Linked DNA regions of Caenorhabditis elegans. The protein of the gene in region 1 interacts with the protein of each later gene in a pairwise test. Each region holds a gene or a part of one and is shown on either strand. Other genes may lie near its edges.

Region 1 (5,030 bases):
AAAACAATAAAAATTGGCACATTTTGAGCATAAATGACGTGTTTCAAATCTAGATACGACCCCCCTCAAAAAAAAAATGGCGGCCACCCTCTTGAGCGTGGGAAATTGCGAGGGAAAAAACTCTCATATAAAATGGAGAGGGGGTGGTGAAAGGAAAATTCCAAGGGATTATTACTTGCGCTCTATTGATAAACTACCAGTGTACTCCGCGTGGACAAGTTTCAACAAAGTTTTAGAACTTCCAGGTCACTCTGGAATTTTTTTGATGGCCTAGTTTTCCCATGGCCTAGAAACCACAAAATAATTTAACATTCCAATTTTGAAATCTTTCCGTATAGATGAAAAATTATTGTGTACTCCACGTGGACAAGATTTGGAAAACTGTTGCATTTTACAGATTTTTGTATTGTTCCAAATTCAAGTTTTTAAAAAAAAATATCTTGAAAACACTGAACTTGTTTCACCCCTCGGTCAAGTGCAATGGGGCGCGTTTGCAAAGTATTTCATTGAATTCTAGAACTAGAAAATATTTATTCTCGCTTGAAAAATAACAAAAATTGCACAAAAAATGGAATTTCCAACAAAATTTCAGGGCAAGCGATACATTACGAAACGCGTGGAGTGTGAAGCAAATATTATTCAAAAAATGTTTTTGAAGAAACTCGTACTTTTCAAATATTAAAACAGCAGTGAAACACAAAAAAAACAAATTAAATATTATGAAAAATCGATTATTGATTGATTTTTGGACGACGGGGCGTGTGTGGGGCAGGGCGTAAGAAACGGAGCATCGTTTGTAATATGAAAGAATTGAGGTTTTCGTGTCATGGGATGAAGAATAAGTTGAATAAATGGAAAAAAGATATTGGTGTAGAAAAGAAGAAAAGAAAATTAGAAATGCTTCACTCAGACTTCAAAATAGAAGCCGGGTTCCCGTAGAACGGAGCCATTTGAAACGGGAAAAAGTGTGTTGGCAATGTTGGAAATGGAACCGGAAGCTGAACTCCAAGCTGTTGGGCCATGGCGAAAAGTTCGAGAGCTGACGGCGATACTGATGGAATGATTGTTGCTGGAATTGAGATTGGCGAGGTTGTTGATGACGTGGCAGAGATGATGGCAGACGGGCGGGACACTTCAAAAGTGGACACTGCTGGTGACGGGGAGATTGCTGTCTCCGGGGTTGTGTTACGGGAGCTTGTCTGCAAAAAAAATGGGTTAGAGGAGACAGGGAAAGTTTTTTTTGGATCATGGCCTAGAATATGGCCTAAAAAATCCTAGGCCACGGCAGAAATTTTCGTGGCCTAGAAATTTGTGTCTAGACTTAGACCTAGATCTAAACCTAGACCTAGACCTAGAACTAGACCTAGACCAAGACCTAGACCTAGACCTAGACCTAGACCAAGACCTAGACCTAGACCTAGACCTAGACCTAGACCTAGACCTAGACCTAGACCTTGAGACCAAACAGACACATGTTTGCCAAGGACTGACAGGTTTACCATCACTCTCAAATAAATAAAACTCCAGAAATTTAACCTCTAGATGGTACATGTTTATGACTTAACTTGTGGGAAAACCGGAGGGCGATTCCTTATAAGACCTAGAAAAAATTCTTCCACCCAGAGTACAGCGTGGCCGAGAAATTAAAACTCTCACCTCTTCATCGCGAGGGCTCATGCTGGACACACTGACAGAATCATGATTAGCAGTCGATGACGCAGAAGACGAAGCGGACGAGGTGGAGGCGGCCGAAGCTTCAGCGGATCTTCTTCTCAACTCCTTCCGCTTATTTGCAAACCAATTCGAAACGACTTGAGGGCTGACCACCTCCTTTGGCATCAACCCAACACCTTTCTTATCCATCTTCAGAACGTGATTGCAAGCATTCGCTATTTCGACTCGCCGTGGAAGATCTGGGAATGGCGTTTGTGTGAAGAACGATTCGAGCATTCGGATCAGAATTGGACGAAACACGTAGCGTTCTCGACGTTGTGGGATCAGCTCGCCATCTCCATTCGTCTCGAGGCGAGTTGTCGGATCGGCGAGGAAGGCAGCGAGTTTGTTGGGATGACGTCGGCAGTTCAGGTACCAACAGTAGATGTTCTTACGGCAACGGAGCGATAGTTCACGGTGGTTGCCGTTGAGCAATTTTGAAATGTACGGCTGGCTTACTCCTGGAAATTTAGAAGATTGACATGGCGCAGTGGGTAGCAACTTCGCCTAGGAATTCAGACGCCTCGGTTCGATCTCAGCGCGGGTGGGGCATATCGCAGTGGCTAACAGCGAAGGATAGATATCCAGGCACCGGGGGATCGATTCTGGTGCCGGCTGCAGAGAATTGCTCGCCTAAGATCCAGAGTCCCCTTTTCCCTTTAGCCAACTTTATTTCATATGACGTCATAGAAGGAATCAACTACAGTAATACTCAATTGCACTGTGGCTAACAGCAGAGATTAGGAATCTAGGCGCCGGGGATGTATTCTGATTTATTTCTGGTCACGGCCTAGATTTTAGAAAAAAAACTCTTCCACTACACTTTTTTGGGAACTAACCTGTCATCATTGCTACCGTAGTCTGCCGCAACGAGTACTGTGTGATGAACGTCTTCATATCCAAAATGCACGCCTCCTCGCCCTGCTTCATAAACTCCTCCAGCTCATTCGGATCGTCCAGTGTGGTAATCTCCTTCATCGGCGTTCGCTGACTCCTAATCGGCCGCGGAGCATTCGAGCATATCGGATGCTCAAATGGTGATGAGCAATTTGAAGATTGTGGCTCTGACTTCACAGGTGTCGGCACTGTCTGCACGGTGAGTTTGACTGGAGTCTCTGATTTGGGTGTTGTGAGATGTTGGACCAGGAGTGGGCTGTACAGGGCTGCGGCAATTGTGTTGTTATTCTGAAGCTGCTCTGGAACTTCCAGCTCGCCGAAAGCCTTGAGCAACTGATCGGATGACATCCCGGTGTGCTGCAGCTTTTTGATGAGCTCCAGTTGCTCAATTGTGAATAGCATTTTTTTTTCGTTCTGCAAAAAAAAAATAGTATGAAAAAAGTAAATAATAAATGTTGTTGTGTAAAATAAAATTTACTACGAGGTTTTATATCAAATATATATACCAAACAATATAAGGGCGTTGCTGCTCAATAACAACATGATAAGAGGTAGAAAAAAAAGATGGAGTATGATAGAAATTATATATTACTACAGATTTAGTGAGGGGGAAGTTAGGCCAGATGCCTGCTTTTTTTGGGCCTTAAGTTGTAAGAACCATGGTCCTAGACTTGGTAAGCCGGCTCACTGGGCTAAAAGCCTTCACCTACCAGGCCATTCGGAGGAACATCAGATATAGCATTATAGTAGACTAAGCATGGGGGTCATGTAGATCAACCCTCTATTTCAAAAATTTGGATATTTAAAAAAAAACTGTAGAAAAGTAGGAGACCAAAGTTCAGAGCATAGAGAACAAAACCAAAGGAGAAACAAAAAAAACAAGATCACCTCTCCAAAAACATATACATATAAGAAAAGGAATCTCGAATCAGGTCGGTGTGGTCTGGCAGATCGAGGTGGGGGGCGGGAACGAGCGTACTGGGGGAGAGAGACGCAGATGTTTCTTTCTCTCTCAGTTTCTGCGAAAAAAAAAGCACTGGGCGGAGTCGTAAAGTGCAGTGTTTACCCCGCTGGGGGAGAGAAGAACTACGGGAAAACTTGGGTCAGATGTTTGGAACACGCCCCTTTGGAAAACAATTTTTGAAAAAAAAATTGCAATTTGTCATGGTGCATCGTGGGGGTCAGTCTGGCCGCAAAATTTCAAAAACTAGAATTTTGAACTATTTTGAAATACAAATGTTCTATGTTTTGTCTAAATACAGTTATCTCTAACAATTTTTAAATACCAAGTTTTGGCAAATTGCCAAAATTCTGAAAAATATGAGCTTTTGAGGAAATTCAAAGCAATATCTTATGTTGCGGCCCTGTCTTGTCCTACAATGTTTTAATACAAATAATTAAAACAAAATTACATTATAAAAAATCTAGAAAAAACATTTTGGTCGACTTCCAAAATTATGAGTGGCAAAAACTGAGTAATTGTCACTTTTTGACTGTGAATAAAAAAATTTCAAAAAAATATTGAAAAGTTTTATTATGATATTCGGTACTTTTCGGACCAAAGGAGTGGTTTTTAACAATTTCCCCACTGGTGCTACTCCACCTTTAAGCCAAAAAATTTGCATAAAAAGAAATCGAAGAAAAAGGAGTTGCATTTTTTTATAGTTAAAAAAGTGTATAGAAAATATACAAGAAAATGTGTTAAGGTATGTAGAATGGAATATATAAGAAAAACAAGTCGATAAAACGCCACAGCAAAGAGCAGTTTTACAATCAGGTGGGAGGGGCCGGCAGGCGATCTGGAAAGATAATATATCTACATTTATGGCTCCCAGTCAACAGAGAGGCGGTTGTAAAACTACATATTTACGGAGAGGAGATGTACATTGGTGTTTTTTGGGGTGTTAGGGATATTTGAATCTAGGGCTATTTCAGACAAAACATTTTTATGCTAATTTTAGTTTTTCTGAGAAATTTTGGATTGAAACTATAATTTGAGTAGATTTTAGCATCGTAAATTTCAGATTTTTTTAAGGCTGAAAATTCCATAAAATAAGTATAGAATCATGGATTATAATGCTTTTACTGATATTTAAAAGAATTTTGTACTAGAGGGTCTCGCCACGATTAAGCCCTGTCACGATGCATCATGTCTCACAATCAGTCAAAAAATGCGCTAAGTTTGAATAAATTATTTAATCGTCAAAAAAGCAAAACTCGATTTGAGCCAAGAAAAAACGAAAAACTCAAAAATTTCCAGCAAAACTACAAAACTGAAGCGTTAAATCGTGACTGTCAATACATCGCGTACTTAACGCATAGCTATTCTGATAACAGGAGAGCGAGGCGAACTCGAGCAGGTCGTCACGACCCTATAGTCAACATGATAGGCTCTTGTTAGAATGACATGATTTTGGATG
Region 2 (6,711 bases), 8.9 Mb from region 1:
TTATTTGATACGAATAATAAAATATGGTATAATAATGTATTTTATCGATGAGCTTTGAAAAAGTATAAATAAAAGTTTCTTTTTGCAAACATAAATTGGTACGAACGCTTGAAAAGAAGGAAGGAAAATGGGAAGAAGGGAATCTTCTAAATAGAGATGGGAAATGCCAAGACAGTCACTTCTTATACATATTGAAGTACTAAACTGATAATTTGATTGACAATAATAATCACAAGAATAAACGAGAGCCAGCCCGTCTGGAAAAAAGATTAAGGAAGAAGAGTTGGGGGAGACGAGAACAATAACCTGATATGATATAGAGATGGCCTAGACAGGTTTCAAGATGAAACAACTACTGAGACGGAAGGGTATTCTTCTTTTGTTATGTACATTATAGCTGGGCTCTGGACTATTTTATAAATTGGGGGTAATGATTCAAAACAACAATAAGGGAAAAGATGAAAGATCACAGATTCGGAATAGAACTGGAGATGAGATGAGGTGAAGAGTTTTGGGAGAAAAAATGGAATTATTAGAGCATATGATTATTCTGCTCACTGTTCAAAATGGAATCTTGTGATTGGAGAGGATGAATTGCCAATGGAGCTGCAAGAGTTGCTGAGAGCATTCCAGTTGGTGTAATTCCAGAAACAGACGAAACACTTCCCACTGATCCGGCTGGATTTAACGGAGATACCTGAAAAATATGAATTTTGAAATGGAAGATCTTTTTTAAAAAGAGAATTTTACGGTTTTTCCCTGAAATCATTGGCCGTTTTCGCTATTTTTGTATTTTTTTAGAATAAAAAGTTTAATAAAATAATTAAAAACAAACCCCATTAGTCGGTAACGTTGTCGGAGATGAAAGATGTTGCTGTAAAGAGACCGGAGCCGTCGAATGATCATTGATGTCGTCGAGAATGAACTCGGAGAGCAGAGAATCCACCTGAAGCTATCATTTATGTACGGATTCAAACAAGAAAAGCTTTCATACCTCTGCCAATCCGAAGAACTTTGTAAGTGTCATATTCTCAATGAGCAGCTGAGTCAGAGCCTTGAGAGCCGGTGCCAACAACAAAATATTTCCATATCTTGTGGGTGCGTCATCTGGCATCTGATCGAGAATGAATGCATAAAGAGCTTTCAAAACACGATTTCTAGCATCACGAATCATAATCTGTGAGCTATTCGAGAGTCCTTTGGCTTCTGGGTGCAAGAATGCAAGTGCTTTCAAACATACAAATTCTTGTTCTCTCATCTGAAGTTGTCGCATTGGCCAGACAATTTCATCAAGAACTCTGGGTGTTATATTGCTTGTTTTGAATGCAGCAAATCCATTGAGGTCAGTGTTATTGTCACGTGTCATATAAGTATTGTTGAAGAGACAAACTCGAGTTGTATCGGGACTTCGAAATGCTGGCATCAAAATGAGATGTTGTGGTGCATAGTTTTTCAGTAGAATGATCTTATCTTCCATCGAAAGATCCATGAATGGATTAATTGTTTTTGCCCATTCAACCATCAATAAAAGTGTTGTCCTGGAGATTTCATTCAGATCCTGAAAATAAAACAATGTGACCTCTTAATTTACGTACCATCCAACTCACTACCTCGGTTGTGCATGGCCGGTTTGGTGGTGCAAATGCCGATGCTCCAGAATCACTTCCTTGTTGAATATCTGTGTCATTTCCATTCGACCCCCCACTGCCGTTTGCAAAGATTTGCGATCTTCGGTATCGATTACACATCTCTTGATTGACACGAGCCTCCATCTCCATTAAAGCATCAATGACACTGCTGGATTGTGGAACTGTTCGCATATTCTCTTGTCCCATACCGTTTGATCCGACACCGTTGCTGTTTCCGTTCTCGTATCCGGGGCTTCTGTCTTTTTTGAATGGAGTCCCGTTGAGACTGGCTCCAGATGTTGGTGAACCTACAGGATCACGTTCGAATTGAATAGCTGAAATATATTAAATTGTAGAATTGATCGTGGATGTGATTCAGATGATAGAACATGGACCTGAATGACAGAAAATAGTTGTTAAAATTTGTATTTTTGAATTCCCACGAAAATGAATGAAATATAATTATAGTTTACTATATTTTCGACATTTTTGCGTTTTTCGGTAATGTTTATTGTGGCTTTGTTTCAATATAATTTTTTGGTAAATTTAAAAAAAAAGAAATCATTCAAAATTTAATACAATTTTTAACAGTTATGTTCTGTCATTATGACTCTATTTCTTCTTTAAAATAACGAATTAAACATGAAAAAACATCCAAATTTTAAACGTATGTAGAATTAGATACGATATTTTGCTCCAAAATTATTTTTTCTAGATAGAAAACTACGAAACAATTTTTTTTTAGAAATATCGTGTTTTGAAATGGAATCTACGGACAGGAAAAGGAAAGAAAGAAGAATATATTCTAAATTCTGAGTTAACGGGGCAAATTTCCGAATCAATATCTCAAGTTAGAATCTTTTTTGCGGCCGATCTCATTTCACGGACGAAATTGAAAAGAGGTCACTGGTGAAAAACATGAGGCCACTGTGTTTTGGATATATTCAAATATTGAACGGAAAGAGAAATGAATACCTTCTCGTTTCATTCCAACTTGTACACACTTTTGAAAGCGACAATAACGACACGCGCATCGAAAGTTTTTGTCAATCACACATCTTTTGTTGAAACGGCAAGTGAACTTCTGATCACGAAGAACTGTTCGGCGGAAGAATCCCTGAAATTCATGAGTTTTATTAATGCGGGATAAATCATTAAAAAGTTCGAGATGATAATCATAACTTTCAAAAACCAGTTAAATTAATACGAACTTTTGCAACCATAAAGTACAGTACTCGGTCTCGTCACGAACAATATGTTTTCAAATAAAGCATGCGCGAAAAGCGTGGGTTACTGTAGGTGGAGTCAATATTACTTTGCTTTAAAGTGAGGAAATTGTTTTTTAAAAACTACTCCTGTGGTACCAAAGTTAACAAAAAAAGTTAGAAAATTTTTATTGACAGTAAAAACTGGCAATTACAGTTTTTGCCACTTTTTGAGAAAACTATAGCCCTGTCGCTTATCGAATCCCTATAGTGTTTGATTATTAATATTTGAAACATAAGTAGTCCATAAAATTATAAGGAAACAATTTTTTTGATCAACGACTTCCAAAAGTGGCAAAAACTGAGATTTTTCATTTTTCAAAAAAGGAAAAAATATAATTTCCAAAATCATTTTTCGTGACGAGAACTGAATTTATAATTTCACATAATTCTAAATATAATTTATTTTTTATTATTTTATAATTTATCCCTTCTCACCTTACACCCGTTGCAGGAAATGACTCCATAATGGGTTCCAGTTGATTTGTCACCACAAACGGCACATGGTTCCGCAAGAGGATCTACTAGGTCCATGACTGAAACAATTAAACTTTTTACAACAAAAAAAACAAATGAAACACGAAAAAAACCAAACAACAGATAGCAACGCAAGTTTTCAAAGTGAAAGAGAAACGACGAATGTCACTTGTTCATGGAAACGATGAAATAGTGTTGGAGGTAGAGAGAGTGTCAGACGAGTAGAGAAATCAGAGTCAATGCAATGGCTTTAACACATGATAGACACACAAGAAATAAGACAAAATTTAATATAAGTATTGATAAGCCTAATGTAAAATGTCCTGACGATACGGTGGATTAAAAAAAACGATTTGCCGTATCTATTGCAAATCGACTATGACGTCATAGTGTTTCAATGGTGTCTTTAGGAGTGGAACGCATGTTGTCTTAATAATAAAGGACCGGCAAGTGCACACAATTGAGATGCATTGACCACTAGGCAGATGAATGGGCCGCGTTCAGAAATTGTAGGTTTTATATTAGACCTTATTGGTGAGGATGTGGAGATAATTCAGCAGCATATAATTAGAATTTCCACTGCTAGAAGGACAAACTTGGTACTTTCAATTTATTGTTTCTGAATATAGAACAATTTTGAACGTATATTCAAAAAGACCGAAGCTCATGTAGAATGTTTTTCAATAAAGTATCCTAATCGAGTCCAATAAAAGTAGAAATTTGAACATTGAAAGGGCAAGCCGAAACTTGATAGCTCGGAAATTTCGAGCCTCCCAGTTTAGCAGATGTAGTGTAGGACTAAACGTGTTGCTATTGTAGCGAAAGTAGAGAAGATTGAGAAATCATCCGTCTTGAGCAAACAAAAGGAAACGCGAAGATCAGAAAAGGACTGATGTGGCACACTCTAAAACTGGTCGATGTGTTCGGCAAGATTCCAGTAGTCTTTCTCTCTCTCTGCTCACTCCAATGAGGTATTCTTAAATGCGGATGCTATTTCAAAGTCTTCTTGATCAATCTTGTCCGACGGATCGAATAAGATAGACGGTCGCGCTAAGTAGTGTCGTTCCTTTTCTCTCCAAGATCGTAAGATCTATATCTAAGGAGCGAGGAGATGTAATGCATCGAATAAGTGACCGACGAGGATCCAGTTGTAGGGTTTGGTAAATTCTGGTAGAAAATGAGGAGACACATCGAAGAATGACGTTCTAAGAGAAAGGGCATTTGAATTACTTTAGAACTTTTAGAAGAGCCAGGTTAATAAACTCAAAAATGTACATATTATTTGAACGTATAAAAATCCATATATACCCATATAGTGGACTTTGCAAAGAAGCCATCCAAAAATCATTCTATTAATTTCTGGATTTCAATGAGCAAGTCGCTGATTGGTTTTGTAGTTCTCAGTTTGGTGGAAAATTCAAAAAGGCATGAAAGTCGATATTTTAAAAGTTGACTTTCTTTCAATGTCGCTTGATGTGTCCGTTATAAAACTTACTTACAATCATCTGAAGATTCTTCATCAATTTGATTCAACTGAATATGTTTAGAAGCATCAAGAAAGTAGTCCATATCGTGAGAACGGAATGAGTTGACTAACAAAATGATGAGTATATACAAGGAGTTTGCGAATCACCCCATATAAACAGGAAGTGAGAGACTACATTATGTAGTTCAGTGTTGTTCGATGCCCCGTACTTTGTACTCTCAAAGCTAATTGGGACCGGCGTCGTCTCATTTAAAGTCAGTCATTAAATCTATGAACTTTTGATTGTGGAAAAAAGCTGAACTACTGGCAAACAGAAAGGAAACGAAAAAAAAAGAAAAGAAAATGGTGAAAAAGAAGAAGAAGCTAAAGCTGGCAGGCCAGTCGGTTAGAAGGACAAAAAAGAGACAGTGGTTGGTCAAACATGTCGAGAAATATGAAAAACTAGAGAGAATGGAGTTGACAGAGACACCAAACAACGACAGCCAACCACCCACAGCACGTTGACAATCGATAACAGGAGAGGCGCAGACCTTTAGAGATGAATAGATGAAAAGAGGTAGAGAAAGATTGTAAGAAAGTTCCTCTCGACCCTCTCTCCCGTACTACGCTATACCCATCAGGTCGTTGACACCACCACACGTGAATGAAACAGTGTTAACCGAGTGAAATTAAAATGTTTCAGATATGCCTTATATGATAAGTTAACATTTTTGGAGCAAATATTTTCGAAAAGTTCAAATTGATGATTTCAATTTAATTATTTCTTTGAAAAAAACGAACAAAAAAAAACAAGTAAAACAATCAACAAGATTAAAATGTGTCAAAACCGGAAATTCAAACAACAAAAAATATCACGAAACTAAAAAAAAATTATTTATTCTTTTTCAAATTCCTCTGCTTCTCCGCCGACTCCACAATCAGGTCCTCGGTTGGCAGTCCTTTACGTCTTCTAACTGCATCCATATATCCTCTTGCATGATTCGGACTGTCTCCCTTCAATCCGAATTCTTCAATTTCTTCCAATGTAGACGGCGTCCAGTAAGGATCCTCGTCAATGACTTGCCAGTGAGAAAATTGAAGTTGAGCAGAAGCCATTCCAGATGTGAACTTGCGAAGTTGATCACAGAAAGAGAACGATTCGACGACGGGCATTAGGGAGACCACTTCGAATAAATTTGTAGCTTCATTGATGTCCTCGGAGAGTACCTGAATTCAAAATTATTTTTTATTTAAAATTTAGTATTTATACAACGCCATTAAAGTAATAGTCAAAATTCGAAATTTTTGAAACAAAATGCTCATATAAATGAGATTGGATATACCGTATTTATTTGTTTAATCGGCACACTAAACCATAAAATCTATTTAGATTATAGTTGGAAAGAAGATTCATTCATTATATTCTCTCCATATATACGTTATTTGCACAGATGCGTCGAAAATTACAAAAATTAAATACTTCGTTCACATGCTCAATGGGCAAATCACATTAAATATTGACATGGATTTCAGGTTTATATTCGAAAACAAAAAAAAGGAAATTTTCGAAGCCGAAAAATTGAAAAAAAAGGAAAGTTTTGTAAATTTGAAATTATATATTGAAAAACTTAAATATTTTGGTCAAAATTTAACTTTTCATAATTTCGAGTGTCATTTTTAGAGCTATATCAGAATATTTCGGATTTTTTTTTCGGAAAAAAAATTAAAAATTAATTTTTTGTAAATTTGAAATTTTATTTTGAAAACTTGAATATTTTCATCGAAATCGCACTCTTTCTAAATTTTCTAGTGTTTTTTTTTTTTGAAAACATGTAAAATTTAAATTTATCAGTTATCAGGATTTTCGGTTTTTAAA

What was found. The genes of interacting proteins can lie anywhere in the genome.
Region 2: the proteins of hmbx-1 (region 1) and nhr-49 interact in a two-hybrid assay, tested with the Caenorhabditis elegans proteins (2 studies listed by BioGRID).

What each region holds. Positions count from the first base shown.
Region 1 is NC_003279.8:987,665-992,694, reverse strand, and holds hmbx-1 (Homeobox-containing protein 1), read right to left. Parts: upstream 3,025-5,030; 5' UTR 3,013-3,024; coding exon 2,553-3,012; intron 2,175-2,552; coding exon 1,657-2,174; intron 1,200-1,656; coding exon 903-1,199; 3' UTR 517-902; downstream 1-516. UniProt on the Caenorhabditis elegans protein: Transcriptional repressor which maintains cell fate asymmetry of AWC neurons in adults by repressing the expression of multiple AWC (OFF) genes, including srsx-3 in the AWC (ON) neuron.
Region 2 is NC_003279.8:9,867,946-9,874,656, reverse strand, and holds nhr-49 (Nuclear hormone receptor family member nhr-49), read right to left. Parts: upstream 4,940-6,711; coding exon 4,870-4,939; coding exon of another isoform or gene 4,866-4,869; intron 3,430-4,865; coding exon 3,332-3,429; intron 2,746-3,331; coding exon 2,604-2,745; intron 1,964-2,603; coding exon 1,608-1,963; intron 1,559-1,607; coding exon 995-1,558; intron 947-994; coding exon 836-946; intron 698-835; coding exon 533-697; downstream 1-532. Other genes in the region: K10C3.5 (Elongation factor-like 1), read right to left, coding at 5,727-6,062.